Linked DNA regions of Diceros bicornis minor. The protein of the gene in region 4 interacts with the protein of the main gene of each other region in a pairwise test. Links are inferred from orthologs where the notes say so. Each region holds a gene or a part of one and is shown on either strand. Other genes may lie near its edges. The genes, in order: CDKN2D, PGBD1, PRDX4 and NR4A1.

Region 1 (7,605 bases), on a different chromosome or scaffold from region 4:
GAATCCCTGGGCCAGCCTTGGTGGCCTAGTGGTTAAGTTTGGCATGCTCTGTTTAAGCAGCCCGGGTTTGGTTCCTGGGCACAGACACCACTCATCTATCAGTGACCATGCTGTGGTGGCGGCTCACATACAAAAAAAAAAATAGAAGAAGATCAGCAATAGATGTTAGCTCAGGGCGGATCTTCCTCAGCAAAAAAAAAGAAAAAAAGAAAGACGAATCCCAGGAATTGTAGCGTAGCTTAGTGCATCAATTTCTATAGCTGTAGAATATTCTACTGTGGGAATCTTCTACATCTGTCCATTCTCTTGGTGGTTTTCAGTTGCCTGCTACTCTGGTTCACAGCCCCGTGCAGGTTTCTTGGTGCCCCAAGCAAGATTTTCTCCAGAGCTTATAGTGAAACCTTTTTTAAGATGGGGAAACCGAGGTCCAGAGGGATTAAGGTGTCACTCATCTAGGAAGGGGTGGGGCATGTTGAACTCGGGTCTGCCTGGCTCAAGAGTCTGTGCTCTTTGATTTGACTGTTCCCCAGTCTTAGGGTCTCAGGGGAGCTGGGTTGTGGGGTGGATGGCCACCAGCGAGGGTCTGGACACTCCTCAATGTCCCCGTCTCTGCAGGCAGGGAACGGGCAAGGGGCCATTAAAGCTGGTGACTTCCAGAAAGAACGCCCTCTCCCGGTCCTCTGCCCCTGATCCCACCTCTCAAACACCCCTCCCCAAATTACTGAATAACAGCAGTAATCATAATGCTAGCTACCACCCGTGGAACACTTAGAATCCTTGTGTTGAAAGCTGTCCCGTGTCACACAGCTCTAGACACAGAGAGAATGTGGTAACTCATGCATTTATTTGTAAAGTGTGATGGTTGAGGACGCAGGCTCGGTTGGAATCTCTGCTGAGCCAGTTGCCAGCTGTGTGGCTTTGGCAAAGTGCTCTTTGCCTCTGTTTCCTCATCTGTACAATGGGCAGGATAATGGTCCCCACTTCAGGGTCGTGGGGGCTGGCTCTCAAGGAGATGGCGCCTGGAAGGGTTTGGTGAAGATTTGCAGAAGGCAGGAGTGAATTCTTCATGCCCCGCGCTCTCTCCCTCGACAGGCCAAGGGGCAGTTTAAGAAGCAGTCGGTGGCCAACGGCGTGGAGATTTCTGTGCCTGTGCCCAGCGACGCCGACTCCCCGCGCTTCAAGACCAGCGTGGGCAGCGCCAAGTACGTGCCGGAGAAGAACGTCGTTATTTGGAGTATTAAGTCCTTCCCGGTGAGCACTGGGGACGGTGGGGCATCTGGCGGGACTCGTTCCCCCTGCTTGAGGGCAAGGTGGAGAGTAAATTGGAGACCCACATCTGCGTGCACACGGTTATCCTTGGGGGTCACACAGCTGGAAACCAGGCCAGCCTGGTGGTTAAGCTCTCCCCCTCGCAGGTCTCAAGGGAACCAGCCCTGGGTTCTGAGCTAGATGGCCTTGGGAAAGGCCTTCCCTTCCTGGAGCCTCAGTTTGCCCATCTGTGAAATAGGCAGGACCATGTTACCCACATCCTTGGGCTGCTGGAGGATTTGCTCCGTCCCTTGGATCTGCGAGGGGCTTCATCAGGGTCTGACAAATGGGATATAGTCACTAGAAGCCCCCTCTGCCCCCCGACCAAGCTTTGCAGTCAGAAGCTTTGGCTGTGAGTCTCGGCCAGGAGCCTTTACTTTCTTGTCTGTGAAATGCGCTGAGGGCAGAGCCTGCCCTGGGGGCTGATGGTTGGGGGCAAGTAGGCACCCCTTGACGTGTCTGATGCCCCCATGTGCCCGCAGGGGGGCAAGGAGTACCTGATGCGTGCCCACTTCGGCCTCCCCAGTGTGGAGAAGGAGGAGGAGGAGGGCCGGCCCCCCATCGGGGTCAGGTTTGAGATCCCCTATTTCACCGTCTCTGGGATCCAGGTGAGGGAAGCGGGCAGGGTTGCTCCTGTTTTTCGCTTCAGTGGGTGTCCCTCTCTGCCAGCTCTTGGCTTGGGTCCCCTCAGTTCCTTGGCCTGGGTCTCCTCTCCCCCCACCTCTCACTTTGGCCTGTGCCACCTCGTCCCCCCAAAACCGCAGTGTCTATTCCTGTACCCTGTGCCATCTCTTTCCTGCCATCCTGGATCACCTTCCTCCACACTCCCACTGCCCGTGCCACATCTTTGCCCCAAGCCATGTCACCTCATTACTCCCAGCCTGTGTTATCTTCACCTCCCAAGGGGGTAGATATTTTTCCTTTGGCCCCAGCCAGCTGTCCCTCGAGCCTGGCCATGTCCTTTCATTCCCTTCCAGGTCCGATACATGAAGATCATCGAGAAAAGCGGTTACCAGGCCCTGCCCTGGGTCCGCTATATCACCCAGAGCGGCGGTAAGGCAGCTGGCTCCCCGGCTCCAGGAGACAGTCTTGGGGTTTTGATACAATCTAGCTTGGAGGGCTCCAAAACTCATCAGGCCTGGCCCCAGGCCTTCCCTGTCTTTGTCACCGTGCCACTCTGGGCCTCGGTTTGCCAATCTTTAAAATGGGGGCAGCTGCCAGCTCTGGGTGGTGGGGTTTGGAGGAGGCTGAACACAGCACCCCCATCTGTTGCCTGGAAACAGGCTTGTTGCTATGGTTACTGTTGCTGTGTCTGACCTCATCCTTGTTACATACTGGAGGGGTTGATCAAGAGCCCTGGGGCCAGGGAGGGATGGGGGGCCTGCCCCTCTGTCTCCTTTCCCCAGTTCTGAGACAGTCCCTGCTCACTGTTTCCCTGCAGATTATCAGCTTCGTACCAGCTAGGAGGGAGAAGAGGCGGGGGCTTGAGCATACGCCTCCCTGTCCCCACGCACCGACTACAGACTTGAGAGATGGGGAGGGAAGATGGGCGTGTGTCTGTGTGAGGGCAGGCCCCTGGCTCAGCACTTTCTCGCTCCCAGCATCTGTCTGCCTTTTCTTCTACCCATAGGCTGGAGGGATGGTGTCCCTCCCGTGTCCCCAGCCCCATCCCTCCCGCCCCCGGGCTTCCCCCATCCTCCAATTTTATATGAAGAAATAGAAGAGGGACTTGAAGCCCCCCTCATGAGTGCCTTCTCGAAGTGACCTGCCTTAGGGGGTGTTGTGGGCCCCTCCTCTTTCACAGCTGCTGAGCCCAGAGGCCCCGCTGGCCCACTCCTCTGAGTTTTAGTGTGGTATTAAAAAGATGAATCTAGCCGCTGCGCATGTCTTCTTGGCTGGGGGCCGGGGATGCCAGGGACGCCCCTTAAGTGCTGGGATGGGAGTGGGCAACATATCCATTCCTCAGCCCTGGGCATCGCTCATCTGGGCCAGCGAAGTTGCCACCACCTCGGTCCCCAGGCTCCCGCCTCCCCTCCCCCACAGTCAGTTCCCCTCAGAGCCGCCAGGGGGCGCCTGCGAACTTCTAAGTCAGATCCTGGCTCCTCGGCTCAGAAACCTCCCACGGTTCCCATCTTGTTAAAAGTAAAAGTCGGGTCCTCACCGCAGCCCACAAGCCTGAGCTGCACTCCTCCTCCCCACCACCTGCCCTCAGCTCCTCCCTCTCTCTCCCTCGCTCTTCCTGGACACACCAGGCACGGGCCCACCTCAGGGCCCTTGCATCTGCATTGCCCTCCACCTGGCATGCTTTTCCCCAGATATCCACACGGCGCCTTTTCTCACCTTCAGGCCTCAAATCAAATGTCACCTCCTCCGGGTGGCCCTCCCTGACCTATTTCAGCGGCTTCCTTTCCCCAGAGACTATCACTTACCCTGTTTTATCAGCTCCAGAGTATTTACCACTCTGAAAAGATTTAATTGTCTTCTCCCGCCCTAAACGATAGGCATCCTGCGGCAGGAGCCCCCCTTCCCCCCGACCCGGCTCGCTCTCCAGTTGGGCGCCTAGAACACAGTAGGTGCTCAATAAATGCTCGAATGAAGGCCTCCCACCGCGACTCTCGCCACCCAGGCTCGCCCACGTGGCAGCCGCAGCGTGAGCCTCCCTCCCTCTTGCATTTGCTGTGCCAGGGCTGGCTCAGTCTGGGCCAGAACGTGATTCCTCCTTCGCTCACCACACTTCCCTTTTTATTTTCTTCGCGCTGCTTAACGCCATCTAAACCCGCGTAGTCCCTGGAACGTGCGCTCCCCACGCCCGGAACGGTTCCTGCGCGCAGTGAATGAATGAAATTAAACGCTCCGCGCATAGTAACGGCGAATAAATGTCATCGCGTGACTCAGTGCTGGAACCCGGGACCGGGCGGCCCCAGCCCTGCCTCCCTTCCCCCCGGAGGTGCCGAGGTCCCGGCGCAGCTCGCGCTCCTCTGCCCCTGACCTTTCTCCCCTGGGTCAGTTAAACCGGCCTTCTTTCCCGCCCGCCCGGCGAGTTTGAAAACCGAAAACCCCGCCATTGCCGGCGGTCCACCGGTCGCCGCGGCTCGGCCAATCAGGAGCGGCGCCGCCCACGCCGGAACGCGAAACCTCCCCGGCGACGCGTCGCCATTGGCTACGCCGGCCGCGTGGGCGGTGCGCCGCAGGGCCCTGCGCAGGGCAACGCGGCTGGGGCTACAGTGTAGCGAGTTCGTAAGAAAACAAATCGGCGGCGCTCGGGGGCGGGGCCTGGGCGCGCTGGCTCCGCCCCCTGGCGGCCAGCTCGGCGGCGGCGGCGGCGCCGGCTCAGAACAGACCCCGCCCGTCGAGGAGGAGGGAGGGTGAGTTGGGGGGAGACCCGGCCCCCAAGGGGCGGGCGCCGGGCCGGGCCCTGCGGGCGGCGGAGGGTTGGGCCCCGCTCCCAGCCCCTCGCGACCCGCTGGCTGACAGTGGGAGGAGCTGGCCGGGAGGGCGGGGGTCGCGCCGGAGCCCCCGAGTGGCGAGCCGGGCCGGGAGCCGCGCGCAGGCCGGGAGGGCTGTGGGGGCCACGCCGCCGGGCTCCCCCGCACTGATCGCGCCGCGGTGGGGCGGGGGGCTTCGCAGGCCGCCCGCGTCGACATGCTGCTGGAGGAGGTCCGCGCCGGCGACCGGCTGAGCGGGGCCGCGGCTCGAGGCGACGTGCAGGAGGTGCGCCGCCTTCTGCACCGGGAGCTGGTGCACCCCGACGCCCTCAACCGCTTCGGCAAGACGGCGCTGCAGGTGAGGCCCGGCCGGCCCCGAGCCAGGGCAGGGGGGAGCGGGGCGAGGACTGGGACCCCGGCCCCCTTCCCTCCCGTCTCCTGGCCCCGGCGGGGGCCGACTGGGGTCCGAGCCTCCATTCTCGGGCCGACGTTGCTCCTTGGAGTCCCCTTTCGTAGGTGGATGGTGGATGAGCTTGGTGGGGGAGGGGAGGGCTTCCCATCTTCCCTGGAGGACTCCTTGTTTTCTTAGTGCGGAGGATTCAGTTTCCCTGGAGAAGTGCTTATTCCGTGGATAAGGGTTCGGTTTCTTTGGATCTCGGTTTCATGGGGACGGCTCTGGTTTCTTGGGGCTTCTATGGGGGCATCTGATCCCTGGAAGGAGGAATTTATGTCTCCAGGGCGTCCCCATTTTCTGGGGGTTTCTCTTAGACGTATCCAGTTTTCTGGGGCGGATCTCCATTCCTGTTGTCTCCCCCCCCCCAGATTCATGGTATATTATAGGGGGTCCTAATGGGGGAACAGTTGCAGATTGCATGAAAATTCTTATCCCCTGGGGGACATTTTACAGGCGAACCCCATTTTTTGAGGGGGCCAGGTACCCGGGATCATCCCCATTATATGGGGCGGGGCTGTTTCTTGGAGAAAGAGTGTCAAATTCCCTGGGCATCTCCTTTCCTTTGAGAGGGCTGTCAAATTCTTTGGGGACAATTTCTCATTCTAGGAGGCCTATTTCCTGGTGATTTCCCATATCTAGAGGAGGGGGGGCTCTGGTTCCTTGGGGAGGGTCTTAGATTCCTTGAAAGTTTCCATGGGGCTATTCCCTAGGCGGGTGTCTTATTCTTAGGGGCGTGACCAGTTTCTTGGAGTCCCTGTTCCCTGGAGGCCTTGTTCTCTGGCCTCCTTGTTCTCAAACAGCTGCCCCGGGGGCTTGTGTTCCCTGGGGTTTCTTCGTTCCCTAGAGGATCTCTTCTCTGGCGTTCCCTTCTCTGAATGACCCCTCTCTCCAGGGACCCCTTTTCCTGGAACCCCTCCCTTGAGGACCCCGCCCCTCTGCCCCGCACAGGTCATGATGTTCGGCAGCCCCACGATTGCCCTGGAGCTCCTGAAGCAAGGTGCCAGCCCCAACATCCAAGACGCTTCCGGCACCACTCCGGCTCACGACGCAGCGCGCACTGGATTCCTGGACACGCTGAGAGTCTTGGTAGAACATGGCGCTGATGTCAACGCACCCGATGGCACCGGGGCGCTCCCCATCCATCTGGCGGTCCGGGAGGGCCACGCGGCTGTGGTCAGCTTCCTGGCTGCTGAGTCTGATCTCCATCACAGGGACGCCAGGGGGCTCACACCCTTGGAGCTGGCTCGGGGGAGAGGGGCTCAGGATCTCATGGACATACTGCAGGGGCCCACGGTGGCACCGCTGTGACCCGGCGCCACCCACCCCAGCGTCAGGACCGGCTGGGTTCCATGTCAGAAGAGGAGGAAAGAAACACTTTCTCCCCCAGCTCCTCCTGACCGCTGCCGAGGGGGAGGGGCCCCAGTTTGTGGCTTGTTGGTGTTGATTTCTAGAGTGTGTGTGTTTGAGGGGCATTTCTCATTTCTTTTTCTCACCCCTTTTGGTGTATTGAGTAGAGAAGGGCTCCTGCAGGCAGCAACCACTTAAACGGTTCAGTTTCCTCCACGCCCCAGGCTGCTGGGGCTGCAGATGAGGCCCAAGGGCACAGCATTTAAAGCCCCAGCCCGAGTGAGGTCATCGCGTCCAGGGCTCCTGGAACCTGGCGACCTTGGCCGGCTGTACCCAGAGAGAGACCTCGAATGTACACACTGCTTTCGGGCATGGCGGGAGGGGGGAGTATTCCAAATCAATAAAAGGGTAGTATGAGTTCATTCATATTCTGTTGGAAGCTTGTTTTCCAGTCTCTTGTACAGCGTTAAAAAGAAAAAAAGATTCTATTTATTAAGCTTTATGGAAAAAATTGTTGTGTGTGATAATTTAATGTTTTTACCCATTAAATTAAGACTTGTGCGTGACCACAGCGCCGGTGGCTTGTGATTTTTGAGTCTGCAGCGGGGAGTCGAGCGTCCGCGATGTTGGCGGGGTAGGCCCGGGGGTCGCGGGTCTCGGATGATTTGGGGGAGGGGAGAGAGTGGTAATTCCCAGGGCGCCAGGGTGAGTGAGCTGGGTGGGGCAGCGGTTTGCGCTGTCGGAACGGAAAGGAGGCAGGAAACCGCGAGTGGAGAAAGGGCCCCCAGATGTCAGCTGGGTGCCTGGAGCCGTGGGGGTGGGGGTGGGCGGTGGCCGCAGCCTTCCCCGCAGAGGTGTGACCCGTGGGCGGGGACTGCGGGCACAGGGCGTAAGGGATCCCGGAAGGGCCGGGGGCAGGGTTAGGCACTGCCAGCTAGGCCCCGCCCTCTTTAAAGTTCGCGGTGGGCGGGGCCTGGGCAGCCCCGCCTCCTCCAGGGCAGCTCGCCGCACGCGTGCGCAGTGGGCCGCAGAGCCGCCATGCCGGAGCCGCGCGGGTCGTCGGCGCTGCGG
Region 2 (7,361 bases), on a different chromosome or scaffold from region 4:
ACATCACTAGGGACTCTGGCCTCTGCCTCTCTGCTCCACCATCCTAGTGTGTGCCATCGGTCCTTAAGGTCATCGTATGATCCTTGATGGCTGCTGAAGCTCCAGACCTCACATGCAAAATGTGGACAGAAGGCAGAAGGACAAAAAGAGGCTCCTTCCAGCTCAGTCAGCGCCCTTTGAGCAGCCTTCCCATAAATTACTTTAGCACATATGTCATAGGCCAAAACTTAGGAAAGGGAGGCTGGAAAGTGTGTCTGGGTTGCAGAGGGCCCAACTGAAAATTAGGCTTCTGTCACTAAGAATAAAGAGGAGAGGGGCCGGCCCCATGGCTTAGTGGTTAAGTGCGCGCACTCTGCTACTGGCGGCCCGGCCTCGGATCCGGGCACGCACCCACGCACTGCTTCTCCGGCCATGCTGAGGCAGCGTCCCACATACAGCAACTAGAAGGATGTGCAACTATGACATACAACTATCTACTGGGGCTTTGGGGAAAAAAAGGAGGAGGATTGGCAATAGATGTTAGCTCAGAGCCGGTCTTCCTCAGCAAAAAGAGGAGGATTAGCATGGATGTTAGCTCAGGGCTGATCTTCCTCACAAAAAAAAAAAAAAAGAAAGAAAGAATAAGGGGAGAATGAATGTTGGAATAGGCACTTAGCAGTCTGACAAACTTCCTGTTCCTTCCACTCTGATCTGACTGGGTACAAGCTGACCAGAAGCCACAGTTAATACTGTTTCCTGGAGGATGACCAAATGTGTAGGAGAAACAACTGTAACTTTTTGAGACACTAAAGAACTTCGTGGAAAAGTCAGTCACGTTCCATTGCTTAGGAAGCCATAAAGCTACGTATCTTTTATTCTGTCTTTATGAGTAAAATTAAGTTGATATCAGGGATTTTCAAGTATTTTGAGGGCTGTGCTGAGGTCAGTACCTAAACATTTAGCTCCTCATCATAGTTTAAATCTATTTGATTCTGTTCAGTTTGAGAAGGAAAGAACATAGAATATCTTTATTATTCTCCTTAAAAAGCAATGACAAGGAAAAGATTTAAAGGATGAAGAATTGTATACCCTTAAATATCTGGAAAATTTGTCTTGCCTTTCTTTCTTCAAGATGATTCTATAGTACGGGTATTATAAGCATTCTGAATTCATTCACACCTTAAACAACCTAATTCTTCCTTAGGTTCCAAAGGAAATGGTGTTTTCATCAGTACCTTGGGGGCAGACCCAGAACCACCTGGGCATAAATGTTGCATAGAGATATATTTAAAAATATGTTTTTCAGTGCATGCACTCCGCTGCTGGTGGCCCGGGTTCGAATCCCAAGCGCACATCCATGCACCGCTTGTTAGGCCATGCTGTGGCGGCGTACCACATAAAGTGAAGGAAGATCAGGCATGGATGTTAGCTCAGGGCTGATCTTCCTTACAAAAAAAAACAACAAAAACGTTTTTCTTATTTATTCTTGACAGTTACAGAAACATTAAACAAAGGGCAAATGTTATAACATCTCGATTAGGTTTTTGCTTGCAGTGTGACACATCCTAGATACCTTAAAAGGAAGTTAAAAATCTATGCAGAGGGCAGGAACCCAGGAAGGATGAACTATATTGCACCAGTGTCTTCTACTGCTCAGCCATTTCTGTTTGGGTAGTAGCTGCAGTGTCCAAATATAGAGTGGAATTGGCAGTCTCTGTTTGTCCCCATTTCCTGCTCACTCTCCTGTTTAAAATCTGATAAAGTTATTATATAGCTTGCCACTATAAAAGTAGTATGGAAAAATAGGAAAGGAGAAAAAAATCACCCTAATTTCCATCTGTCAAAAATAATCACTCTTTAGTATGTGTGTGTGTGTGTGTGTATTCTAACTTAATTATGATCAGTCAGTATTAATAATTTTTTCTGCTCAATTTTTAACATAATTGTCCATTGTAATATCTTCATAAAATTCTTATTAAATTAACTCATATTTATCAGAAAGTTCATATACATTGTAAAAACATTGTAAAGAAGAAAACAAATCATCCTGTCTCATGGTCCACAGATATTCTCTTAATGTATGTTTTGAGATGCTGATCTTTTTTATACATAGAAACACTTTTATCACTGGACTTTAATTATATCATGAACAGTTTTCATTTGTAGTGGACAGAACAATCAATTTACCTACCTGCCCACTCCATTCTAGTCCAAATCTCCCATAATCCTGAGTGGGCAGCCAGCCATTGGATCCTTCTCTGACCACAGAGGATTGAACCAGGAGGAGGCATCTAAGCCAGGCTTGGTCATTTAGATACACCTAGGAATTTGACGTGGGATCACAGATTCTGGTTGGTCTCTGTTAGGCATTTGAACCAGAAAGTAATAGAGAACCGGAACCATTTTTGTGATCACATAAAAACCAAATAGAGACAAACTCCATTGTCTCGTTGGGCTGGCAGCAAGAAGCAAAAGAATGAAGCCAACTCCTGAAGCCAGGATCCCATGAAGGCTAGAGAGACTCAGGAGAAGCAGCCTCGGCCCTCAACTTCTGCAGTCCATCTATACACTGGTCTTGGGAGTCATGGAATGCCCTTGTTTCCTTCTAATAAAGGTTTCTTTTAAGTTAATTTGACTTGTTTCTGAACCTTGCCAACAAATAAAGAAATCCCTGATTTAGACACCCAGATCGTTAGAGGTCTTCATGGAAGATAATTTTCAATATAAGTTCACAATTATCTATGGTATATGTCCCCATCGTTAGTCATTTAGGTTATCTACAGTTCTGTCACCATAAACAATATTTCAGTGAACATCCTTGTACATACAACTTTGCTTACTTGTAGAATTATTTTGCTTCCTTTAGTTGCTGTAACTAGAATCGATGAAACAAATGATAGACATATTTTCTTAGGTTTTTTGATGCATTGGCCAGATTGTCCTTCAGAAAGGTTCAGAAAGGTGTACATCCTGTTAGCAGTCTGTGAAAATGCCCATTTTTCCACACCCATCAACCCTGGGAATTACTCTTTTGAATATTTGACAATCTGGTGCATACAAAATGGGTCTACTTTTTAAAGAGTTTTTTAAAAAATATTTTTACTATTAAAGTTGAACATCTTTTCATATATTAATTGGTGATTTATAATTCTGATTTTGTGAACAGCCATGTTCACCTTTGCTGAATTTTTCTATTAGATTCTCCTTTTCCTCTTAAACAGCAGTGCCATTAAAAATTAAATAGGAGAGCTGTATATCAAAATTTTAAATGCACATGCCCTTTAACAAATCAATTCCAATGTGTAGTATTTACCCTAGAAATGTACTCATAAAAGTATGTAAAGATATTCAATGGTGTTCTCTGCAGCATTACTTATAAAGAAAAAATAAAACAAGAGGGATAATTAAGTAAATTATGGTACAACTATACAATGGAATACTATTTAGCTGTTAAAAAATAAGCTTGTATGGAAAGCTCTCTAAGCTATCTTAACCGAAAAAGCTAAGGTGCGAAATTATATTGTGATCTCATAAGTGTTTTAACATATATAGATACATACTTAGCCACTAAACAAATGTTTATTGAGTGCTACTGTGTGGCTGGTAGTGTCCTGGGATGATATACACAAAATATTAACAATGGTTAACTCGGGGAAGTGGGACGCTTTTCATGTTATAGTCTTCACTCAATGTGAGTTTTTATTGTTCATATATAATCTGTATATTTAAATTTTAAAAATTAATTTGTGCTGCTTGCTGTATTATAATTATTTATTCAACTGTGTCCCCCAGCAGCTTGTGAGGACCCTAAAGACAGAGACTCAGTTTTGCCTTTACCATCTTGGTGGTTTTTAACTGAAATGGTTTCATAAATGATGGGCATGCTTGGGTCGTCCGGACCGCCCTGGGGTCGAGCGGCTGAGAGACGCCTGGGCTGGGCGGGGTGGCCGCGGGGGTCTGCCGGGCGCACCAGAGAGACGTGCGGCCGCGTTCCTAGAGAGGCACGGAGCCGGCCGGACGCCGCGACTCCGCTGCCCGCGCGGCTGCAGAAGAAATTCGCGCCCCTACGCCCGTCCCACCACCGGTGCCGGCTGCGGGGAGCAGGGCGAGACCCGCCCGCCCCGCGAGGGGCTGCGGCCCGGGCTCTGCGGAGGCCGGGGGCGGGCTCCTCCCGACTGTGGAGACCAGGGCCCCCGCGCTCCCGTGGGAGCCTTTCACGAGGTCGGCCACGTCTTTGTTGTACACGTTCCTTGAACTTCTGGTCCATTACCCAGCAATTAGACACGCACTTATTGAGTGCCCACTGTATGCCAGACGCTAGGTGCGCGGTGCATTCTCAGTAAGGTACGTTCTGGGCTCGCCAGAGCGTCTTGGCTACCGGCATCTCATGTACATCTACGTGCATTCATCCAGAAGTCCACCAGTATCTGTTGACTACCAGGTACGTGCCGGGCTCCCTGAGGTTATGCAAATAAACTCCTGTCCTCAAGGAGCAGGGGCGGCGGTGGTGACTGGGGGTGTGGTCTGTGATAGAGACGGAGAGGGAGGGCGGTGGATGAGGCAGGTGTGAGCTCACTTTTCCATGGGAACGCCCCACCTCCACCTGAGTGGCTTAGAGGACAGAAGAGTTTTCTCTGTCTATACATTAGGTTTGGGTTTGGGAATTTACCCTGTTACGAGGGCGATCCTGGCCGTAAAGTACAAGGTGGGTGGAAAAAATTTGAGTAGTTGATATGGCGGTGACATGAAGCATTTGGGACAACTATGGCTTTCTTGGAGGTAGGAACTGTGTCTTTTATTCCTGGGTTAGTGTTATGCCTGGCAAGTAATGATGTGCTCAATAAATGTTATTGAGTGACAAACAAACCAGTAAAACTCAGTAAGGATCAGATCCTGGGGAGTTTGAATTTAGTTCAGTGAGAAGCAATTGAAACCTGCTTTTGGAGAGGGATGGGGTGTTGAATATGGTCCGAATTGTGCTTTAGGAAATATCAATCCAATGATGACAGAGCGTGTGGTGGGGCAGGAATACCATAGAGAAAATTATTGTAATAGTGAATGTAAATGGTAATAAGGGAATAAAAAGGAAGGAATGGCTGCAACACGCATTTTGGAGGAAGAATTGACTAGGCTCAGAGTGATTATGTGTAGGGGCTGGTTTTCAGCCTGAATGTATGGAAGATGGTGGTGATGCCAATGGAAATGAACAATCCAGAGAGAGTGCAGCTTTGAGGGGCCTCTGAATTCAGTTTGGGATGTGTTGAAATTATGGTGCAGGAGAGGCCCGAAGCTGGAGGCATCCTGCTGGCATTTCAAGACGTGAGTCTGGAATGTGAAAAGCAAGTTGGAGCCAGACAGAAATTTGAGTGTGCTTGGAATAGAGGTATATTGAAATTACGATTGATGAGATCACAAAAGTAGAAAGTGAGGAGAGAGAGGGAAAAGAACTTAGAGTATGTTTACCGTTTCAGTTATCTAAAATAAAACCCCAAATGTAGTGGCTTGAAACAACCTCAGCTTGTTATTTCTCATGATTCTGTGGGTTGACTGGGCAGTGCTAGAGTTACTTATGAGGCTGCATTCAGCTGTTGAATCAGCTGTAGACTAGGCCCAGTGGGGCTTTAGCTGGGGTACCCTGGTTCTCATCCACATGACTTCTCTGCATGGCTAGCTTGGGCTTCCTCACAGCATGGCAGTCTCATGGCAGTGTGCCAAGAGGTACAAGAGCACTTCCTCTTACAGTGTCATTTCTGCCATATTCTATTGGTCAGAGCAGGTCATAGGCCAGCACAGATTCAAGGGAGGGAAAAATAGACTCCACCTCTTGATGAGAAGAGTGACAAAATCTCATCACAAAAGGTTTTAGGGGATGGGAGACTTTGGAAACAGTCTACCTCACCTACATTTAAGGTAGAATATTCCATAAGAAATACACAGAGATAGATGACCTTTCACAGTATATTGATCTGTCCATGAAGGCAGCCATCTGGCTCACCCATGGGTAAAATTATCTCTTCTCTCCAGCTAAAGTGTAAGCTGCTCAAGCACTCTTATTGTTAACCCTTCTTTCCTCATATCCCATACCTTACATCTCTTACTTCTGGGCTCAACCTCCTTAGGTTCAAGTGTTCATTATACTTCTGATTAATTTCACTGATAATATAGGCAAGCAGTCTCAGTTTTTGAGCATGACTTACAGATGGGACAAAAATATAAGTATGTTACTTAGAGTTTGAAGCTCTTGTAATTTTCAAGTTACTGATCAATTTTTAGGTCTCAGATGTACATTTGGAAAAGCATTTCTGAAGCATAGACTCCGGCTAAGTGAACCTTTTCCTAGCCTTTAAGCTCAACATGGATGAAGCTTTGTCAGGCCTCACTCCTGAAAATGGAGACAGCTTTGTGAGAATGAAGGAGGAAGATCCCACATGGGAGCAGATGAGCAGCTCACAGGAGAGCAGCTCCCACATTCGGGAGCTTTGTCGCCTGCGCTTCCGGCAGTTCTGCTACCAGGAGGTAGCCGGGCCCCGGGAGGCTCTGGCCCAACTTCGGGGACTCTGCCATCAGTGGCTCAGACCAGAGACACACACCAAGGAGCAGATTCTGGAGGTGCTGGTGCTGGAGCAATTCCTGAACATCCTGCCCGGGGAGCTCCAGGCCTGTGTGCAGGCGTATCCTCTGGAGAGTGGAGAGGAGGTGGTGATAGCGCTGGAGAATCTAGAGACAGACACAAGAGACACAGGACAGCAGGTGGGAAGAGAATGTGTGTGGTGTGGGAGAAGAAATGGGGAACATTTGTCTGTTAATTTTTAACTTTTTATTTTGAAATGATTTATAATTTACAGAAGTATTGGGAGAATAGCACAGAGAACTCCTGTATACTCTTTACCCAGATTCACCAATTGTTAACAGTTGTTTCATGATGTGCCCCACTCTTGTGTGAGTGAGCACTCCCCGTCTCTTTCTCTCTTTCTATGTGTGCATACATATATGCACATGCACACACACACACCTTTTTTTTCTTGAACTGTTTGGGGGTTAGTGCAGATATCATGCTCCTTTACCTCTAAACACTTCTGTGTGTATTCCTGAAGAACAAGGACATTCCTTTGTGTAACCAGAATACAGTTATCAAGTTTGGGGAAATTAAAATTGTTATGATACTATCATCCAAAAAGTAATCCTTGTTCAAATTTTGCCGTATTACCCCAATAGTGTTCTTTATGGCAATTTTCCCCCAATTCATGATCCAATCCAGCATCACATGTTGCATTTAGTTGCTGTGTTTCTTAGGCTCCTTGAATGTGGAACAGTTGCTCAGTCTTTCTTTGTCTGTCGTGACATTGATATTTTTGAAGAGTACAGGCCAGTTGTTATATAGA
Region 3 (6,874 bases), on a different chromosome or scaffold from region 4:
AACATAGTTACCATATAGCCCAGCAGTTCTAGTCTTAAATATACACCCAAGAGAATTGAAAACATATGTTCACATAAAAACTTGAGCACAAAGCATAACCCTGTGACTATACTAACAACCACTGAATTATACATTTTAAAATGATAAATTATATGTTTTGTGATTTATCTACTCATAATAGTCTAAAAGTATAAACAACCTGAATATCCATCAATTTATGAATGGGTAAACAAAATTTGTATATCCATACAACAGAATATTATTCAGTCATAAAAAAGAATGAAGTACCAATACATGCTACAACATGGAAGAACCTTGAAACCATTAAACTTTAAATGAAAGAAGCCAGACCCAAAAGGACAAATATTGGATTTGGACAATAAGGATTGGACAAATAAGGATTCTACTAATATGAGGCACCTAGACTAGTCAAATTCAGAGACAGAAAGTAGAATGGTGGTTTCCAGGGGCTGGAGGGAGGGGAGAATGAGGAGTTATTGTTTAATGGGTACAGTTTCAGTTTGGGAAGATGAAAAATTCTGGAGAAGGATAGCGGTGATGAGTGCACAATAGTGTGAATGTACTCAATGCCACTGGACTATACACTTAAAAATGGTTAAAATGGTAAGTATTGTTATGTATATTTTACCCCAATAAAAAAGGAATGGGGGCCGGCCCAGTAGCATAGTGGTTAAGTTCGTGTGCTCTGCTTCGGTGGCCCAGAGTTCGCAGGTTTGGATCCCGGGTGCAGACCTACACACTGCTCATCAAGCCATGCTGTGGCAGCATCCCATATACAAAATAGAGGGAGATGGGCACGGATGTTAGCTCCGGGCCAATCTTCCTCACCAACAAAAAAAAGAAAGAAAGGAATGAAGTACCAATACATGCAACAACACAGATGAACTTTAAAAACATTATACTTAAGGGGCCAGCCCGGTGGTGCAGCAGTTAAGTGCACACACTCAGCTTTGGCGGCCCAGCGTTCACAGGTTCGGATCCCGGACGCGGACAGGTGTACCGCTTGCCAAGCCATGCTGTGGCGGCATCCCATATAAAGTAGAGGAAGATGGGCATGGATGTTAGCCCAGGGCCAATCTTCATCAGCAAAAAAGAGGAGGATTGGCATCGGATGTTAGCTCAGGGCTGATCTTCCCCACCAAAAAAAAAAAATTATACTTAAGTGAAAGAAGCCAGACACAAAAGGACATATATTATATGATTTTATTTATATGAAACATCCAGAACAGGCAAATCTATAGAGAGTGAGTAGATTAGTCATTGCCAGGGGCTAGGAGAAAGGGAGGAATTAACTGCTAACAGGCACGAGGTTTCTTTTTGGGGGTGATGGAAATGTTCTAGAATTAGATAGCAGTGAGCACAAAGCACAATCCTGCGACTATACTAACAACCACTGAATTATACATTTTAAAATGATAAATTATATGTTTTGTGAATTTTATCTAAAAAAAAATTTGGACAAAAAGTCTTCCCTCAGAATGAGTACTCTAAATGCAAGACAGGAGGAAACTACCCTTTTTGTGACCTAGCATCAGAAGTCACAAAGCATTCTTCCTGTCATATGCGTTAGAAGCGAGCCCCTAAGTCTGGCCCACATTCTAAGTTAGGTTTTACACTTATATCATGAAACGCATATCATTTCAGTTTCACGACATGGGGAAGGTGTTAATGTCTCCCATCTACAGATGAAACTCAGGCTCAGAGAGGTTAAATTAATTTCCTAAGGCCGCGAGTCCAATAGGTGGCAGAGCTCAGACCGGAACATAGAAACAGCTGACTCTGTAACCTGTGCTCTTAAACCTCCATCAGTGCTGGGTCTTAACCAGACACGCCATTTGTGAAACCATAGACGCGTGGGACTCCCTCCCACCAAGGACCTCTTAAATCATCGTGTCTGGGGCTTGGTCCATACACTTGAATGTTTTTAAGCTCCTCAGGTGTTTCTGAGGTGCATCCTATGTACAGAATCACTCCTCTCTGCCTGGTGGTTTTGTATTATTTATATGGGCAGCTGACTCCAGCTGGATGGTCAGTGCACTGGGGACAGGACCCCCACCTCCAGCTCCCTTGTGACTGCCACTGTGACAGCACAATGTGTGCCTGCAGGAGGCAAGCGCTCAGGAAATATCATTGGCTAGGAGGATTCAGAGCAACTGACACCCAGAATGCCAGCTGCCAAGGGGTTCCAGTGGAACTGAGGGGCACACAGTTTGTGCCTGGGGGTTGGCCTACCTGGCCACTCTCTCCAGTGGGCAGGAGGTTCACTGGGGCCCACTTGGTGGGCAGCCCCTGCTGCCAACTGGGGCACCTCAGCTCTGCCCAGAGCAGAGGTGTCGGGAAATAACACTCTCCCCGAGCTTCTCCTCCCAGTTCCCAAACTTACAGGCCCACCTTAGGGCCTAGAATTCACTGAGGCTCCGTGGTTCTTTGTCCAACAGTCAACATGGATCACAGAAGCCGACCTCGGGGCATAGGCCTAAGCCGGAACCCTGGGACTCAGTCCCGAGCCCCCCGGGCCCCACTCCCCCTCTACGTGGAACAGGAAGCCAGGGAAGGAGAAGAATGGGAGCAGCGAGAGCCACCTCGTCAAAGGACTCCCATCTATGGGCTTCCCGAAAGTGAAGAGTTGCCAGACAATGTTATGGGTAAGGACATGCTCTCCTCTGCCCCGGCAAAAGGCAGGTGGCTTCATATTTTTCCTCCTTTGCCCACAGGAAACTGAGGTTAGGAAACAGAAAACAAAACTTATAACGGGCAGGACTGGGGTGAGGGCTGAATTTGGCAAGGGCAGGTTTCCTATTTGCCTCAAAGGGTTGTCACAAGGAGTAAGGAAATAATATGTGAAAGCAACTTGAAACTAAGACAGGCTGTCAGGAACATTAGCTGTTCTTTACAAAATCAGGCACTTACAATAGTAAATGCTCACCGTGTGCCAGGTGCCTTGGGAAACAAAAATGAATTCCACATGGATATTGACCCCAGGGAGCTGACAGTCTAATAGAGAAAAGACGAACTGTTAGGAAGGCTTCCGCGGGATTCAGAAAGATGACAAGAGCTCACAGGAAGATAGAAGGGATCTTGGGGGGCATAAAGGCTGCCGATGGCGCCTGTCTTTCTGGTGTGTGTTGTGTCTCTCTCCCCAGTTCTCACCCGCCATCCTAGCAAATGGGTGAGTGATGGGGAGAAGATGGAACAACACTGTGCTGGGATAAAGTCTGGTTTCCTAGGAACTTTTCAAGTCTTGATTAAAAAGAAAATAGACACCTTTGAAATAGACTTAAGTCACCAAACTGCCTGTTTGTCCTTGCCTACTGGAGGAGAGTAAACGGTTAGACCTTTCTTCTCCGAGTGTTCCCAGAACTTAAAAGGGCTGCAACTAGATGGGGGAGTCGCGGCACTGTTCACACAGATCACTTAACGGAAAAAAAGGAGTAACTGTTAGAAGTATAAAATGCAAGCTGTTCAAAGGCAGCTAGGTTAGTTTCACTTGAGGGGAGGAGGGGGGCGGGTGGCGTGAGGTGGTGAGGCGGTGAGGCTTTGTAGAAGCGATGGGCGTGGAAGGATGTCTAAAACAGTGCACAGGGCGGGAGCGCGTGAGGCCAGTCACGGCGGAGGCCACCCGGCGGCCTCCGCAGACTTGGGCTAAGTCCCAGGGCGCAGGCGCAAACGCTGGCTGAGCGCGAACAGGCGGGGCAGGCGCCCACGTGGCGAGGCAGGAGAGCAGCGGGGGGCGGGGGAGCGGGGAGGCTGGGGACGAGGTGGGGGGGCAGGAGGGCGGGGGGAGTGGGGGGCGGAGCAGGTCTCGCGAGGCCGCGCCCCGGCTCACGCGGGCGTCGAGCGCGCGGTTGTAGCTGCCTGGCGGCGGGAGAAGTCGCGCTCGCGCCAAGAGACGTGTGTCTGCGCTCGCGTGGTCATGGAGGCGCCGCCGCTGCTGCCGGCCGCGTGGACTCTGGCTCCTGGCCGGAGCCGAAGGCTGCTGCTGCTGCCGCTGCTGCTGTTCCTGCTGCCGGCTGGGGCGCAGCGGGGCTGGGAGGCGGAGGAGAGGCCCCGAACCCGCGAAGAGGAGTGCCACTTCTACGCGGGTGGACAAGTATACCCCGGGGAGGCGTCCCGGGTTTCGGTCGCTGATCACTCCCTGCACCTCAGCAAAGCCAAGAGTAGGTGGTGCCCCGCCAAGGCGGGGGGTGACCGGTGGCAGAGGGAGGCTGCTGGTGGGGAGGGCCTGGTGACACGTGTACCCTGGTTACGGTGGCTACCCGAGGGCCTCGCTGGGGCGGCACCCGGGCTGCCTCAGGTCCCTGAGCGGTCCTGGCTCTCTCCTGGGTGTTGGGGAGATCGAGGGGGGTTCCAGCTGTAAAGAAAGAAATGGTTTCCACTAATCAGATTTTGAAAGAAGTAGTGGTTACCCCGAAAGCCACAGATAAGGGAAAGAGGGTGGCCCTCGTCCCAGGCTTGAAAGCATAGGAGGATGTTGTGCAAATCCAAACACTTCCTCAAACATTGCAGAGTGCCTGCAGCACATCACGTCCGTTTTCAAGTACTGTTTCAGGGAAGAATGCATTGATAAGTTGAATAATGATTCATAGAAATTTGATTAAACAGAAAAGTGGTTAAACAAAATGCCGAGGAAGGCAAATGCTTCATTTTTCTTTCTTTTTTCTCTTTCTTTTTTTTTTTTTTTTCCATCTTGTAAAGATTTTAAAAGCTCTCCCCAAAAATCTGTATAGGTAGTTAATGGGTATTCTTTGTATTTCTCAGAAATGAAGAACTTGTTACAGGGTGTATTTTGGAGGCTCTTTGTAGGGAAACCGGGAAAAAGGAGGTTGGAAGTAATGCATTTGAGTTGATGATAAACCTGGTGGCAAATTTGTGTCTTGGCAGTTTGGTTTTTGATTATTTGCATTCTGTCCAGTGTACACAGCTAATGGCCACTTTCAGGAAGGACACGTCAGATTAAGTAGATAGTGAGAAAGTTATGGCCTGCTGCATCTGGGTGTTAAGATTAGCCAAAAAGAAGTGGCCAGGGAGGGGCTCAAGGATAGCGACTGTCCTTTGCTTGCTTTTAAGTAACCTGCTTTTCCTGTGGATCATTTGGCATTCTGTAGATGTGCATTTGGCTTTTGTGGTTCAGTTACAGCATGTTATGTGCCCATATTCAGCAAAAAAAGTAATGCTTCACTATTAGGACTCCCCAGTGTTGAATGGGATGTTGTTATGACTTAGGTTGGATTGGGAGGGATAAGTGAGCAAAACTGTTTTGCCTCCTTACACATTTGCTGTTCTTTCCTACTGAAAGTTAACTACTTTTGGACTTTTGTTTTTAAAAAGCCAGTCTTGCACTTTTAAAATCATAGTATTTCCAAGTCCTGTTGGTTTTACTTGCCTGGGAAGATATTTTGAAATATGTTAGCCAATTAAATGTTTACTGGCATTACGTATATTTCCCATAAGAAACAAATCCCATCCAAGTCTGCTCATGGAAGCAAAAAGTAGGAATTATAGATCTCCCTTTACCAGCAAGCCTTTTCAAATTTTAGATATTTGCTACATTTCTGTGTCACATGTAGGCTTATGTAGAATTAAAGATAGGAGCACTTTTATTGGTAAAATGGAATATTATGGAGCCATTAAGTCCATACTTTCAAATAATTTTAGTAACGTGAAAAACTGCTAATGATTTACTGTTTCCTTTTTAAAAAGGGTGCAAAGGATCAAAATTTGTGTGTTTGAGGGCCAGCCCTGTGGCTTGGTGGTTAAGTGCGCGCGCTGCGATGCTGGTGGCCCCGGTTCGGATCCCGGTTGCGCATCGAGGCACCACTTCTCTGTCCATCCTGGGGCTGAGTCCCACATACAGCAACTAGAAGGATGTGCAGCTGTGACATACAACTATCTACTGGGGCTTTGGGGGGAAAAAAATGAAATAAATAAAATCTTTAAAAAAAAAAAAAAAAAAAAAAAAAAATTTGTGTGTTTGAAAAAGACTGGAAGACGTCAAAATGTTAACAGTGGTTAAACTGATGGGGGTTATGGAGAGAAGAGATTTAAACATTCTTTATACTGCTCTGCATTTGCCAGAATCTTGGTTAATTATATGATTTATATTCAGGACAATTTTTGTTTTTTGATAGATGCAAGGGATTGCTTTGGGTATTCCACTTATAGATCTTAGCAAAGTAACTACATTCTTTTTGCTCTATAAATTAATGACAGTTTTTTTTCTTTGAACTAACACTGCAATTCTTAAATCAAAACCCCAAATTTCCAAAATCAATTTATTTTTCAGATTTGTTTTTCTCAATATGCTAAAATCATTAAGGAGTATCATTGTAACAGATCATTACAATTATAACCTCACACTTGAGTAGCATTTTAAATAACATATGTAAAGCATATACAGTTGAGTACCCTTCTGCTATCTAATTCGCCCTCCTGGCCTTTACTTAATCAGATCAGAATATTTATATGAGGTAGGCTGCTGGCCCAAGATAAGTAATCACATGTTATATATTAACTTCACAGAGAAATTCATCTTAAGTTTGTCTCTGGTTTCAGAGTGACCAAAAATGCTGTCTGTTATTCAAAATACAATAAGTACTAGCAATTATAACCCTTACTTTCTAGGAACCTTAGTCAAACTTGGAAGCAAGTATTGACTTCAATGTATGTAATGGTTCTGAAAGTTTAAGTGCTATCTGAATGTGTTAACAGAAGATCAAGGTACATTATTATCAAAGCGTGTTGGCTAGAATTACACCATGCCCTCACAAGAGAGTGCAGGAACTATTCACTTTCCATCAGGTCACTTGAAACCTGTTCAAGGGGGTCTCCTATTTCAAAGGCCTCTAGGAAAATA
Region 4 (7,415 bases):
GTAAATCACGCAGTTCTGCATTTGTTTACAACGAGCCTGTTTGATTTTGTAATTTAAAAAATAAGTTACAGAGGATTTCTGTTTGTTTTTAATACAGAGCCTGGTTTGGATTTAGGGGAAATCTTGGCGTTCACTCCAGCTCTGTCACTTCCAGCCTGGTGACCTGGCCACTTTTTCGTGCCGGCCCTGACGGCGTCCCGTGGCAACCGGGGAAGAGCAAATGTGGAGGCACTTCGAAAAAGCACCCAGCCGAGCACCCAGCCGGGCCTCCTCATCCTTGTGTAGTGCAGAGCATGCAACCCCATGCAGGCGGTGTCCCTAGGCCCTGTCTTTGTGCCCCCATTTTTTTTTTTTTTTTTACCCTTTGATTGCTCCTAAATCTGGGGAGCGGTGGGGGACCCCAGCCAGGTATTTCTCCATCCTCAAGATGAGGAAAGGAACCGTGAAGGGAATCCCCTCCACAGCCCCTCTTCTCACTGAGGGCCAGGCCTGGGCAAGGGAGCCCCTTTTGGGCCCAAATGGGCCGGGAAACGGCCTTGCCATTCTTTTAACCCTGGCCCCAGTGGGCCAGGGTGGAGGTAAGGGAAAGGTGTCTCCCTGACTGGGGGTAGTTGGATCAAGGGTTTCTGCTATTGTCAGATGGAGGGCCTTATGGGGAAGACCACTAGGGGTCTGGCTGATTGTCCTGGGTCCTGGGGCTTTCCACCCCCAGAATCTCAACCCTGCTCCCACCCCATACCTATGAGCTTTGGGGTCATTCTTTCTCCTCCATGCGAGGCCCTCCCTTCTCTCTGCCTGGCCTGGTCCTATCTCTCCCTTCACACTGTGCCCCATGTTCTCTTCTTCCAGAGAGGCCTCTCAGATTATCCCTCTAGATTCCACCCCAATACCAGCTCGAGGCCTCTTGGAGGCTGCCTCTTGGACCTCCTTCTGGCAATGTTTTCATAGCTATTCTTGTGTCCTGTCCCCCATCAGACTAGGAACCAGCTTTCTGTGGCAAGGTCTTGTTCTTCTACCTGAGGAATTTCCTAGGATGTGGGACAGCACTGGCCATACTGTCTGTTTCCTCCTCTAGTCCTAGCTCCTCAGCCATGCAAGCAGTTGACCTTCTACTTTTTTCTCCTCTGTTTTCCCATCTGCAATAGGGGCTGTGGCGTAGTTCCTGGAATTTGCGTAGAAAGAGGAGGGGCTAGGCGTGAGGGACAAGACGGTGGGTAGAAACGAGAGCCATGGTCTGGGAGTCAGAAGACCTGGGCTGTGGTCCTGGTTTGGCCACTGACTAGCTGAGTGGTCTGGGTCAAGGAGACAACAAGGGGGCTGAAATTTACTGCACATCCGTAATGACACTAAGAGGTGACATTGCCCTGTGCAGCTCCTCAAGCCCCCAAATAAACACCCTAGCCAGGCAAAGTTGGGTGAGTGCTGTGCATGTACAGCTTCAAGACAAGGTCCCCACCCCTCCTTCCCCCAAGTCCTCCTGCATGGAAATGGCAGGTCTGCTACTCCGTGCCAGACTCCTTGCTGCATTCTTTGTATCTGCTATCAAGATGCACTCTTCAAGATTGGATTGGTGGTTACCAGGGGAGGGAGGAGGGCGAAAGGGATAATTTGGCACATGTGTGTGGTGATGGGTTGTAATTAGTATTTGGGTGGTGAACATGATGTAATCTATGCAGAAATAGAAGTATAATGATGTACACCTGAAATTTATACAATGTTATAAACCAATGTTACTGCAATAAACAAATAAACAAAAAAACCCAAAAAAACAAAACAAAACAAAAAAAAGATGCACTCTTCAGGGCCGGCTTGGTGGTGCAGCGGTTAAGAGTGCGCGCTCCGCTTTGGCGGCCCAGGCGCTTCGGGGTTCAGATCCCGGGTGCTCACAGACACACCGCTTGTCAAGCCATGCTGTGGTGGCGTCCCATATAAAGTAGAGGAAGATGGCCAAGGATGTCAGCCCAGGGCCAGTCTTCCTCTGCAAAAAGAGGAGGATTGGCATTAGATGTTAGCTCAGGGCTGGTCTTCCTCACCAAAAAAAAAGATGCACTCTTCATGACGACTCTGTGAGATGGGTATGTTATCATCCTTGTGTTTCGAATGAAGAAACTGAAGCCCAGAGAAGGTAACTTCCCTGAAGTCACACAGTTGGTAATAGCTGGAACCAGTGTCAATCCAGACCTCTTGAGCCTATCTGTGCTCCTTCTGCCACCTCACACTGCTGTCACGAGCCACACAGGTGTATGTGGTTTAGCATTACATATTTTAATATAGGTTTTACTTGGTTATAAAACAGGAGAGTGTATAAGAAAGCAAGTTGTGCTTAAGTATTTATAGAAAGGAGAGACCTTTGCGGGCTGGAAGACTTCATGGAAAAACTGGTAACTGAGCCTTTTTTTTTATCCTTCCTGTCCAAATAAATGTATTTCTCCTACACAGGCAAATATTTTAAAAATGTATTTCAAAAGTTAGATTTCTGGAAAAAGAAAAAGAGGGGGTAGTGGCTTTTTTAAAGAGCCCATTTGGAAGGAACTCTTGGGGTAGGAAGGAGAAGGGGGTTGGGGGAGGAAGAAGCCAGTCTCATGGCTACCCTCCCTTGCCATTTTTGAAGCCTCAGTTTCTTGGTCTCTTTATTGGCCTAATACTGGAATCTGGGAGAGAAATGTCAAAGTTCTGAGAAGTTGATTTTGAGACAAACCAGAGATTCTTGGGATCATTATAAAGAAGGAGAGAAAGGGGCTTCTGAGTTGCACTAGAAGTTTAGGACAGGTCCAGAAAAGGATTTCTGGGGGCGGGCAGGGGGGTGGGGAGAGGAATGTGGCCCCTGGAATGAGGGCTGAGTAGGGGTGTGGGGCCTCTTTGGGAGAGCTTTGAATGCAGAAGAGATTCTTTGCTGCGTGGGGCCAGGGCCCGTGGGGCCTGGCCTGGGTGCGGGGGATCAGACAGCATGCTCGTCATTTAAGGCGGCTCCAGAAAGGAGCAGGGGCGGATGGCTGGTGCAGCAGAGCACAGGCCTGGGTCCTGCTTAATGGGTATTCCTCAATGGCCTGGCCCGGCACACAATACAGGAGCAGACACTGTCACCCCAGCCCCATTCAGCCAGATCCTGGATCCCAGCCCCACTGCTTCAGCCTTGGCCTGGCTTCCCTGAACTAGCCACTCCTAAGTAGGGCGGCTGTAGGGGGAAAGGACTTGCTCAGGACAAGATAGTGCTCCCTTTTCCAATGAGTGTTCCAGTCAGGTGGGAGACAGAAACCTTCCAAGCACTCCTACCCCGGGAAGGTTTTTCCTGGGGAGGCCTGTGCTTGGAGACTGTGATCAGAAGAGTGTGGGCCACTCATGGGTTCATGGCCACTGTGGTGAGCAGCTGTGGATGGGGAGGTCAGACTCCTAGAGGAGAGCAAGGAGGAGAAAGTAACTAGGAGTGCCTGCTGTGTACACGGCACCTCCACAGCTGTTCAGTCCTCTCGATAACCAGAAAAGGTGGATCAGATTATCATCCTCATTTTATAGGTAAGGACACTGAGCCTCAGAGAGGTGAAGTGACTTGCCCTAGGTCACACAGTAGTATGGGAGCAGCCAGATCAGTGAATCCACCACTGGGGCCTTGCCCCTGTCTGCACACCTGCCTCCAGGAGTGCTTCTCTGCAGGAGAAATTTCACCCTCCCAAGAAGTCCTCTTGTTCTGTCTGAGCTGCCTTCTTGTGTGGAAGCTGGGCACCCTGCTAGCTGGGTTCCTTGCCTTTGGGGTGGCATGCAGGCCAAGCGATGCTGGTGGGGGTGCCCAAGAGGGCCAGAGCCCTGTCCCTCAAGCCACCCTAATTGTTTTGTGACTTTGGGCCGCTGCCGCGCCTCTCTGGGCCTCATTTTTTCCATCTCTCCCTCTGGGGAAGCCCCGGGTAAATTTATTTATAACCCAGACCCAGGTTGGCCGCCTCGGAAGGTGTTAGCAAGGCCGCACAACCCTCACCTGAAAAACAGCTCCCCCGGCCCGGTCGCCGCGGGGCGGCTTATGTAACAGGGCGTGCGGCCCGCGTGTCGGGCTGGGGGGGCCGCGGGGCGGGGCGCTCGCGGCTATTCCGGGCGCTGCTATTTTTAGCCCCATTGATGAGGCTGCGTCGGCCGCCGCCGCCGGGATTCCGGAGACGTCAATGGGCGCGCGTCACGGTCCCCGCCCGCCCGCCCGCCGGGGGAGGCGCGCCCGGGGCTGGGCTGGCGGCGCGGGCGGCCGCGGGCTGCGGGGGCGGGGGGCGCGGCCGCGGCCGGAACTGCGGGGCGGGGGGCTGCCCGGGCGGGGGGCGCGGGCCGCAGCGGCGCGGCTGCAGGAGCCCGAGGCGGCTGCGGCGGCGGAACTGGGGGGCCTCGCGCGCGCCCAGACCCCCGGCCTCCCGGCATGGGCGCCCCCGCCGTGTGGAGCGGCTCCCCGCCGGCTGGCGCGCGACCCCGGAAGGCGGGGGCGGAGAGGCCAGCCGAGCTCGCCCGGCCAGGTGAGGGGGCCGTTTGGGGAGAGGGTGAGGTGGTCCCCGGGAGAGGCCCGGGGAGAGGGGGGCTTCGCGGATGCACTGGGGGGTGGGGGGAACTGGGGGTCCTGCTTGGAACCCGGGGAGCGGGGGCAGGGACTGGATTCCCAGCGGATCCTGCTAGCTCAGAGTCAGCCCCCGAGTGCGGCGGCCAAGCCTTTCTCTCCCCAGCCCGCCAAGGGTGGGGTTTGGCCCGCGAGGGGCGCTGGAGGTGGCTAGGCTAGAGAAATTCCTTCCATTTCCCAGCCAGCTGCGGGGAACGGGTTCCAGGAGTTGGGGAGCTCGGCTGCCAAGACGCCGAGCCCGGAGGGAGCAAAATTGCCCGGGGCAACCCCTTCGTGGGACTGAGAGGAGAAACCGAGCCTGGCGAGGGTCTCATGGAGTCGGGAGCAGACCTGGGCTTAGGAATTCTGCGGAGGCGGCATTTGCGGTGGTTTACAATGAACGTGAATTTGAGTTTGGGGCTGGTATTACCAGCATGCTGGGAAACGAAGGCTGGGCAGAGGTAGGTGGATTCACAACAGTTATGCCCAAAGGGTGCTGATGGATTGTGGGGCGGATAACAGCCTGGGTAGGAGCTCAGGGGTGGCTACAGGCTGGTCCTAGACCCACTCCAATGAATGTTTAGACCAGTGATTTGGATGAAGACTTAAAAGGGAAGCCAGCCGACTCCTTGTAGTGACCTAGAGCTGAGAGGTACGATAAAACCAGGATCCCAAATGATGGCAACTGGGCAGAAGGATGGACCAAGACTAACAAGATGAATGTGATGTCTTATAAATGTCGAAGTCTGTGCTGGAGTTAAAAAATCAGGTCAAGAGTCAGGCCCAGTGCCTGGCTCAAAGGCCCAGGGACCCTGGCCCTGGGGGCTGGGGGCTCCCACCTGCTCTTGGGTGTTGGCTGTCAAATTGCTCTGTGCAGGGGGCCGCCCCGTGGCGTAGCGGTTAAGTGCGTGCGCTCTGCTGCTGGCGGCCGGGGCTCGGATCCCGCGCGCGCAGCGATGCACCGCTTGTCAGGCCATGCTGTCTTGGTGTCCCATATAAAGTAGAGGAAGATGGGCACGGATGTTAGCCCAGGGCCTGTCTTCCTCAGCAAAAAAAAAAAAAAAGAAAAAAAAAAAGAAAAAAAGTTGCTCTGTGCAGTCGGAGGCCTCTACCCACTGAACAGGTCCAATCAGGGAAGAGGGATGCCTGGCCCTGGGCTCCCAGGTGGGGCTCTCTGGGTTCTAATCCCAGCTTTGCCACTTCTTAGCTCTGTGATCTTGGGTGAGTTGCTTAACATTTCTGTGCCTTAGTCTTCTCATTGGTAAAATGTTCATGATAATCTCTTCCTCATAGATCTCTTCCTCATAGTGTATAGATCTCTTCCTCATAGTGTTGTGAGGCAGAAATGAGAAAATGCATGTAAAGTGCTTAGTAATGTATCTAGCACAATGGTGTTGAACAAATATTAGCTGCTGTTGTTATTGTTAATAATAGTAATATGCCTGTTTCTGAGTGGGCACATTGGCCAATGCAGAGCTTATGCCCAGGAGGCCACCGGGGCTGCAGAGGGTCTATCAGCCATGTCCTGTTGCAAGGAGGAGTTTAGTTAAGAAAAGACTTGGGGGGCCGGTTGGTGGCGCAGCGGTTAAGTTCTCGAGCTCCGGTTCAGTGGCCTGGGGTTCGAAAGTTCGGATCTGCCCACACCGACGCACCGCTTGTCAAGCCATGCTGTGGCAGCGTCCCATATAAAGTAGAAGAAGATGGGCATGGATGTTAGCCCAGGGCCGATCTTCCTCAGCAAAAAGAGGAGGACTGGCATTGGATGTTAGCTCAGGGCTGGTCTTCCTCACAAAAGAAAAAGTGAAAAAAATGGATGAAAATAATTAAAAAAAAAAAAAAAAGAAAAGACTCAAATACTTGATAGGAAGAAGGAGAGGGAGTTTTCAGGTGGGCCCGGGCAGAGCTGGGTGCCAGGGCTGGGAGCTCCTGGCGGCAGGGTTGTGACAGAGCATAGGGAAGAACCCTCAGACTTTGGCTCGGCCCTGAAATGGAAGGGACAGCTTCTCAGCTGCAGGGTCCTCTCCACCTCCTGCCAAGTGACTGGCCGACCCTCCTCGAAGCTCTGTTCCCGTGCATGTGTGAGTCTTGCTTTCCTCCATCCCACAACCACCTGCTGAGCCCTACGAGTGCTGAGCTCTCTGTCAGAGACTGAAGACACTGCGGTGACTGAGACAGACAAGTGAGCACATGAACAGCTTTCATCCTGTGGAGATCATAAAAATAGGTTACTCTGCTGGGGTGGGGTGGAGGCTCTCGAAAGAGGTGGAATGGAATGGAAACCTGATTGATGAGGAGGAGCTAGCCATACAGACATCCCAGGCAATGACTTCCTGCAGAGGGAACAGCCAATGCAAAGGTCCTGAGTGGGGAAAGCTAGCCCATGGGGCTGGAGTACAGCGAGGAGGGGGAGCCGGAGCTGGGTGCTGAAGTCTGGCCGGATGCGCCCATCCCATTGGGGGGCCATCACTTTCTCCCCCTCCAGCCCACTCAGCCCTTGGTTTGCCTTCTGCTTTGCACAGTGCTGATTGTGATGGACCTTGATTCATTCCCCTGTCGTAACCTCTAGGGGCCAGGGATCTCGGTTTGCTCCTTCTTGGGTCTCCCACTGTTCGTTGCTCACTGCCTGCTTCCCAGTAGGCTCCCAGTAAATGCTGATGATGACCGTTGAGGAGGTGATTTTGATCTGGGACAGGAGATGGGATCAGATACCTGCTCTGAGATGTTAGGAATCACTTTCTGGGCACCCCCTGAGTCCCCGACTCTGGCCCCTCTTCTCAGACACAGGTGGGGAAGACCTGGGCACTCAGGTTGGGCCTGGCTGTGGTGGGAGGTGTTTGGCCCTCCCTGCCCG

Evidence for each region.
Region 1: the proteins of NR4A1 (region 4) and CDKN2D interact in binary tests that used the Homo sapiens proteins (3 or more experiments, as listed by UniProt). The two-hybrid records come from large-scale screens. The link is inferred for Diceros bicornis minor from reciprocal best matches to the Homo sapiens genes NR4A1 and CDKN2D.
Region 2: the proteins of NR4A1 (region 4) and PGBD1 interact in binary tests that used the Homo sapiens proteins (3 or more experiments, as listed by UniProt). The two-hybrid records come from large-scale screens. The link is inferred for Diceros bicornis minor from reciprocal best matches to the Homo sapiens genes NR4A1 and PGBD1.
Region 3: the proteins of NR4A1 (region 4) and PRDX4 interact in a two-hybrid assay, tested with the Homo sapiens proteins (2 studies listed by BioGRID and IntAct). The link is inferred for Diceros bicornis minor from reciprocal best matches to the Homo sapiens genes NR4A1 and PRDX4.

What each region holds. Positions count from the first base shown.
Region 1 is NC_080769.1:8,697,900-8,705,504, forward strand, and holds CDKN2D (cyclin-dependent kinase 4 inhibitor D), read left to right. Parts: upstream 1-4,753; 5' UTR 4,754-4,950; coding exon 4,951-5,091; intron 5,092-6,135; coding exon 6,136-6,495; 3' UTR 6,496-7,105; downstream 7,106-7,605. Other genes in the region: AP1M2 (AP-1 complex subunit mu-2), read left to right, coding at 1,093-1,251, 1,791-1,916, 2,286-2,361, 2,750-2,772; protein KRI1 homolog, read left to right, coding at 7,573-7,605. UniProt on the Homo sapiens protein: Interacts strongly with CDK4 and CDK6 and inhibits them.
Region 2 is NC_080753.1:38,618,474-38,625,834, reverse strand, and holds the start of PGBD1 (piggyBac transposable element-derived protein 1), read left to right. Parts: upstream 1-4,357; 5' UTR 4,358-4,366; coding exon of another isoform or gene 4,367-4,420; intron 4,421-6,252; 5' UTR 6,253-6,333; coding exon 6,334-6,729; intron 6,730-7,361.
Region 3 is NC_080781.1:19,904,832-19,911,705, forward strand, and holds the start of PRDX4 (peroxiredoxin-4), read left to right. Parts: upstream 1-3,871; 5' UTR 3,872-3,934; coding exon 3,935-4,178; intron 4,179-6,874. UniProt on the Homo sapiens protein: Thiol-specific peroxidase that catalyzes the reduction of hydrogen peroxide and organic hydroperoxides to water and alcohols, respectively.
Region 4 is NC_080756.1:18,053,492-18,060,906, reverse strand, and holds the start of NR4A1 (nuclear receptor subfamily 4 group A member 1), read left to right. Parts: upstream 1-4,409; 5' UTR 4,410-4,487; intron 4,488-4,717; exon of another isoform or gene 4,718-5,025; intron 5,026-7,415. UniProt on the Homo sapiens protein: Orphan nuclear receptor. Binds the NGFI-B response element (NBRE) 5'-AAAGGTCA-3'. Binds 9-cis-retinoic acid outside of its ligand-binding (NR LBD) domain.